Tribolium castaneum: one gene and its partner. The protein of the gene in region 2 binds, or shares a complex with, the protein of the main gene of each other region. Links are inferred from orthologs where the notes say so. Each region holds a gene or a part of one and is shown on either strand. Other genes may lie near its edges.

Region 1 (3,331 bases), on a different chromosome or scaffold from region 2:
AATTAAATTAGTTAAATGGGGAATACTTTTCAATCCAGGTCCGGTACTCGCCGAAGTAACGTATTCCGTGTATGGTTCCATTATTGCAAAATTCCACAACGTAATTAAGCAGATTTTGACCGCAATTGTAGCTGCTTTTGCCGTTTTCATTTTTTCCGCAATTTTCTTTGTCGGTTAATTCGAGATCACCCCGTTCACTGCCACACATGCTTAAAAAGCGTCAAAATTTTCAATAGTGTTAACTAAGGGTAATTTTTACCTCATGATCGTCATTATAAAATGCAGATTATCTACTAAAACAAGTCTAGGATGCAAACTTGATGATTTAATAGAGTCCTTGAACTTATGACTTTCTGTTTTTGGCCAATTTTTTGCTGCCGGAGGCTTTTGGCAAAATATTTATAATTACTAGTTTCAACGTAAAAACTGACTCGTCTTTCCTTGTTAGTGATAATTAAAAAAATTAATTTGAGTGCCAAAAATCAGGATTTTAAATGATTTTTTCGTGTACTATTTTTTTTAATATTTACCTCGTTACTGCAAATATCCTTGTGAATAATAAATTATAAAATGGTCCGTAAATGATACTTTTCAAAACGTCAGAAAATCTTGTTTAGGGACTTGGGGAATAAAAAATTGAAAGAAACCCATAAAAATACGAACAGTTTATTGATTGAATGACGGTACCTTTACAAACTTATTATCAAAATAAAATGTTGTTTGAAATATTCTTTCTTAGTCCTCTAACTTACAAGCATAAATTAAAGATTTAAATAAACTCTTCTGGCTCCCTTGGAGCATCGAGGTCCCGGTAGTGAATAACCGGCCTATAATCCCCAGGACCACCCCTTTAATAAAGAATAATAAAAAAAGCAATCTAAATTCTGTAAAACTTACCTTGATCTTGGTGTATAACCCCTAGAACGTTGCGAATACCCTTGATTGTAATATGGGGGTAACCTACCATACCCACCATAGGAACCTCCATACGACGGGTGGTTGTAAGAGGGCGGTTCCTCACGTTTTGGCTGGGGGGCTTCCGCCAACATTGGTCTTTTAGGGTCCCGTAAATAGTTATTGAAAAATTCGACTTCCTTCTTCACCTCTTCAATTTTTTCAGCATGCTTGTTGAAGATGTGCTTACGGACGAAGTCAGGACCTACGATCCAAAGTCAGAAATAAAGCGAGTTTTTTTTCCAACTCACCCTTGAATTTTTTGCCGGACAATGGACACAACCACTTGTCCTTGGCCAACTCTCTTGTATTCGCTTGAACGAACTTGTCAATTTCGGTATCAACGTCTTTTAGAGACAGGTTGATTAGTTTCGTTTCGTTTTTGTTCTCGTCGCGGGGTTTTTCGGGAAGAAAACTAGTCATTTTGGCCTCGACTGGAGCCCCAATAAATTGGGTCATATCAGTCTATGAAAAAACAAAACAATTAAAGGGATTTTCTTAATTTTGGAATGATTGCATTAAAAGAGGAGTTGTTCAAACGATAATAACTGACCAATGAGTGCAAAAATTTCTGGCTACTATAAATTTTCTACACTGATCCCTAATAATAACAATTGTACAAAAAAAATCGTTGACAAATTCAAGATTTCGTTTAAACAGCTTCCTTTTTTGTGCCCCAGAACAAAAATGTACTTAAATTTTTTTGAAAATGGGCTTCCGCAGATTAATCTATTCTGGTGCAAGTTAGTGTTAATTCCTATCTTTGGTAATTAAAAAACCGTGTAAAATTTTCAATTAGTGGTTTTGTGACAAACACATTTATTCTGGGGTAGAGTTATCAAAGCGCAATCATACTTTGGTGGTAGGTGGCGGCCCCCTGGCGTGCAGAATCCCGCACCTATTTGGCATCTCATCCTCATTGGGATACTCGCAGTGATTGTAATAATCAACCGAGTGAACAACACGCAAATACAGAATAATCCGGTCCAAGACTGAAATAAGTTGTTCGTCTCTTTCAACAGTAGTGGCCGAATCTTGCGTCTCCGCCGTTGGCTCCAGCCCCAGAAGTTCCTCCTCCTCGGCACTCGCCTCCTCGATCAGATAGTCGGTAATATTGTGCAGAACAGGATTATTCGACACCAGCCCGAACGTCTGTTGGGGCTTATCTTTCTTCTCATCGTCCAACCAAAGCCCAACTTTATTATCGAGATGCAGCGCAACTTTCGCCGATATTCGAATATCGGACCGGACGACTTGTTTATGGGCCGTAATGCCGTTAACAGGCCGAATCCTCCGACTCAAATCCCGATTAACGATCGCCCCCAATTCGCAGTCCCTCAGTCTAATATTATTCAAATTCCAACAGATCTCCTTAATATTCGCGTCTCGTTTAAACGTGACCCAACCGCGCCTCAACCACCGCCGCTCCGGCTGAGGGTCGGCCAAAGCCACGCGCAGAAAACCCTCATAGCGGCCGCAAACCGCCTCCACTTCTTGTTTCGTAATAGTCGGCGCTAAATTACGCAGAAAAATTGACGTGGTTTTGTGCAGCGATTTGGGTTTTTCCGGTTTGTCGTCTTCGACGGTTTCAATGTGCTCTTTGACTTCTTCTTTCGGTTTGTCTTTTTCGGTTTCTTCGTCCTCCTCTTCCTTCTTCTCTTTTTTCTCTTTCTCGTCTTCGCTGTCGCTGCTGCTACTCGACGAGCCGCTGCTGCTTCCCGAATAGGAACGCTTGCGTTTCTTGTCTTTAGGTTCTTTCTTCACTTCTTCGCCTTCTTCTGGTTCGTTTTCTTTCGCCGGCTCGGGGTTTTCAGACTCTTTCTTCTCTTCTTCTACCACCTCCATTTTTTCAGGCTCTTTGTTTTCTTCAGGAGCTGGTTTTTCCTCCTCTTCCTTCTTCTCTTGTTCTATTTCACCGTCTTCTGCAGTCGTTTCGCCGTTTTCTTTTGCTTCAGGTTCATCAGGCTTTGGCTTTTCCGCAGGTTGTTCTTTCTTGGGAGTGTCATCGTTTGGTTTTTCGACGACTTCTTCTTTACCCTTTTCTTTGTTTTTCTCTTCCAATTCTGTTGATACATTTTAATGCAATAATGCTGCCACGAATTACTAGCCTTAACAACTAAATGTTCAGACAATTACAGTAAAGATAAAAAACCAATACTGGAGATGTAAAATCTTACGAAATACAAAGCTGAGCACCAATTTTGTGCATCTTTAGGTAAAGAAAAGCCCTTACTTATGAAAAAAAAAAAAAAAAAATACAGACTGCTACAAATTCAATCAAAAATAAAATGTTCAAAGTAAAATAAATAGTCAAATTTCGACGTCTTTATAAAAGATTATAGAAAGTCATTCATTTAAAAGAGGTGTTTAATTATTA
Region 2 (3,327 bases):
GTCGCGCCCATCCGTGTCACACCTGACCAAATGTTCAGACAGTATCATTATAAACCTCTGGAAAATAATCAGGAACAAGTTTTTCTGATCGGCTTGTGCCGCTTCCAACTTCTCTTCCATCCTTTCAACATACTCTTCAGTTGGTTTCTCGTTATCAGATTGCTTCTTCTTCGAATCCTCATCTTCAGACTCACTTTCGCTGCTTTCAGCCCGTGCTAGTTTCTCTCTAGCTTCAGCTAGTTCACCCCCTAGCTTAATCACGTGTCTGTTCATTTTTTTAATAGTCAGATGTAAAATTTCCCACAAGTACATTTTGGTGAATTCGGCCGTCATCTCTTTGGAAAAAATCCAATTAGCGACCGCTGAACACTCGACAATTTGAATTTTCAACATTTTGTCAACTAAAACGACCATCATTTGTTGGTGGTGGTGCCACAATTCGAACATGTTTCGTAAAACGCAAATTTGAGCTTCCTCCGACTCTGCTAAAATCTATCAAAAAAAAAGTGATTTAAGACACAAATGTTCAAGCCTGAGTACCTTAAAAACGTAAAGAAACTTGGAAATCGCTGCAAAACTGTGCGAGAAGCTCTTCGACCCTAAGTTGAGTAGAGTTTGCACAAAAACGTCGATTTTGAGAGGATTAAATCTGCTATCAGTCTCTTCTTCTGAACGGGGGTTTGGGAGGTCCTTAAGCACCCCTAGGACCTCCTCGGGGGTGCACTTCTGACGTATTGACACCACCAATTGATGGGCAGCCGTAGTACCCGGAAGTGACGCTAAAACACGATTTGTTATGCATGACAAAAAATTTCATAATTTTGGTTTCGCCACGACGGAAGCTGGATTTTTTCACAACTCCTCATAATCCTCCGTTCCACTTTAAATAAATGAATTATTCAAAAAAACAATCCGTTTAATACAACAAAATTGTTTTCCGCAAACCGAAACGGAAAAGAAAAATTAATAATAGCGGAAGACCACCGACCAGAAAATCCAATATTGTTGCAAGTAATCATAACGGAAACGTTCGTTTTTTCTCGAACGCATATAATCGTATCCCTTTCTTACGCAAGCTGCAATGTATAGCTATTTTCTCGTGTTAATTGGTCAAATTCACGCACGTTTTACTTTCGGACTTTTTCCTTTAAATTACAAGAATCACTTCATACCGTGACCATTATGTCAAATTTGCTCATTGTGATGATTGTTTCAAACAATTGTAATCTTCATCGTGTAACATGCACTTTCGTTATTGTTTTTCGTTTCGAAATCTCCAAGCGTAAAGATGCGACTTTGCGATATCGCCGCTGACTTAAAATCGGTTCTTTTCAGAGCAATTAAGTTCAAGGTGAAACTGAAGATTCGTGAGCAAAATTACGAATTAAAAGAAAAAAATAAGAACGATCGTAAACATCTCTGGTTTCATAACGCGGAGATTAAATCAAAGGTAATGAATTTGTGCAATAAAAATGAAAATATTCTACCTCAAGTACTGAATTTTACGCAAATAGGGTCTTAGGTAACACCACAAGGTTTCAATTAGCCACGCTTTTCGGTGAAAATAAAATTTCTCTATTTTCCTTCGAGTAACATAAAGAAAAAAAATGTTTTTGCAGAAATTAAATCAACAAAAATCCACCATCAAAGAAGAAGGTAAAAAATAAATTAAATTAAAAGTGCGAGTCCATTATTTATCGTAATGAAAATGCAATTATCAAGATGTTGCGACAATACAAATTCATCATAGAATTGCCAATAAAACCTTGCTAATAAATTTTTAATTAAAAAATCTCACTTCGGACAATACTTTTTCCGAAGGTTTAATTTTAACAAACCCATCACTCTTAATAAAAATTTCAAAACTTCATTGTTAATGAGAGTCATTTTAGTTAATTACTGTCGTGCCAAATTAACTTGTCCGAAAATAATAATTCGGGTTTTTTCTTAAAACCCCGAGATAATTATCTTGGCATGTGTCTAAATTAAGTAATATAATATGCACATTGCACACACAAGAAAAAAATAATTAATATTCATCAGTGCGCAGAAAAGTAGACAATGTATTAGCAATTATGTCGAAAGCTTCTAGGATCATCGGTGGGGTACTCTTCAATCTCTCTAAGTAAAAAGATTTAGTTGTAAGAAACCGAGCGAACTAGTGACATGTGCAGCTTTCAAACATTTGCAAACACCCAGTGGGTCTAAAATGGGACACTTCGAAATAATCTTCATTTTACTCTTGGTAATTTTACCACGACTAACAATCCCATTCAAGTCCAAGGTTATTAAAAAATGAAAACTCTCATTTTCAGACTCTCCAACTATGGGAAACTGTATCAATCACTCGACCCGTGCGAAACTTTCATCCTCCCACCGACTGGGAATTGGGGCTGCGTGAGTCCGTGCATCAGGCCCTCCTCCGGGAACACTACACCGACCCGGGGCTCCGCGACCGCCTCCTGGCAGCCCCTTTTATCAACCGACAGGACGACGCAAGTCCTTTCGGAGACATCGCCGTTCTGGCACGAGGACAACTCTACATAACCCCTGAAGGTTTCAAATTTGTTCAAGACGTGGACTGTGATTGTCAAAGATGCCTCACGTCGCCCCAATGCCAGTGGAAAACCTTCGGTCACCATAAACTACTCGCACTGTGGACGGTGAAGCGGATAAGACATCGGGACCCCCATTATGGGCACGTGTACGAAATCGAGTACACGATTTCGCCCATCACGCACACCATCAGCGAGGATTTGGTCAAAAGACATGGGTTTTTTAACTATAACGTCCCGGGACACATTTTCGTGATTAAGAGCGATCCGGGTGTGAACACAGTTGGACAAAAAGAGTGGTTCAAGAAAGAGGAAGATCATGGACACTACAAACCCGGAATTTTAATACAAATGACCCCGGATGGGTACAAACACGTGTTGCACAGTTTTCCCGGATTTTTCACTTCATACCACGACCAAACAACAATCGATCCAAAAGAATACGAACTGTACAAAAAATTGATCGAGTCATTGGCGGCGAAAACATCAAGTGGGCCTCACCGATTCTCAGTTACGACTCCTACGACTACGACTTTTGTCGTAAGTGAAGGACAATTAATCCCGATTACGACTTTACCGACCCAAAGTTATACAAAGTCGCCGAAACCCATCACAACCATTCATTATTACACTCCGGTTGAGACAACAACGGAAAAACAAGACGAGAGTTTTGATATTTTTTCGGAGGCGTTACGCACAACTACTACGAAAAAAATTACGACAAGTGAAGAACGAGTTAATTTGTTCCCGGTTAGTCCAACCGAACCGATGA

What was found. The genes of interacting proteins can lie anywhere in the genome.
Region 1: the proteins of Cbp80 (region 2) and Ars2 are in contact, whole or in part, in a cryo-EM structure (PDB 8PMP), measured with the Homo sapiens proteins. The link is inferred for Tribolium castaneum from reciprocal best matches to the Homo sapiens genes NCBP1 and SRRT. Residues at the interface, in NP_002477.1 of Homo sapiens: Tyr461, Gln463, Lys511, Lys557, Ser558, Ser560, His561, Ser564, Ala567, Lys568, His570, Lys607, Ile609, Arg610, Thr611, Gln612, Met648, His651, Glu705; in NP_056992.4 of Homo sapiens: Asp857, Pro858, Arg859, Val862, Glu863, Tyr864, Arg865, Asp866, Leu867, Asp868, Ala869, Asp872, Asp874, Phe875, Phe876.

The regions. Positions count from the first base shown.
Region 1 is NC_087394.1:28,905,696-28,909,026, forward strand, and holds the end of Ars2 (serrate RNA effector molecule homolog), read right to left. Parts: intron 3,018-3,331; coding exon 1,810-3,017; intron 1,420-1,809; coding exon 1,206-1,419; intron 1,160-1,205; coding exon 898-1,159; intron 849-897; coding exon 770-848; 3' UTR 651-769; downstream 1-650. Other genes in the region: pickpocket protein 28, read right to left, coding at 27-209, 260-273. UniProt on the Homo sapiens protein: Acts as a mediator between the cap-binding complex (CBC) and the primary microRNAs (miRNAs) processing machinery during cell proliferation.
Region 2 is NC_087397.1:5,581,145-5,584,471, reverse strand, and holds part of Cbp80 (nuclear cap-binding protein subunit 1), read right to left. Parts: coding exon of another isoform or gene 2,316-3,327; intron 2,246-2,315; coding exon of another isoform or gene 2,210-2,245; exon of another isoform or gene 2,096-2,209; intron 780-2,095; coding exon 541-779; intron 493-540; coding exon 1-492. Other genes in the region: mucin-2-like, read left to right, coding at 2,210-2,245, 2,316-3,327. UniProt on the Homo sapiens protein: Component of the cap-binding complex (CBC), which binds cotranscriptionally to the 5'-cap of pre-mRNAs and is involved in various processes such as pre-mRNA splicing, translation regulation, nonsense-mediated mRNA decay, RNA-mediated gene silencing (RNAi) by microRNAs (miRNAs) and mRNA export.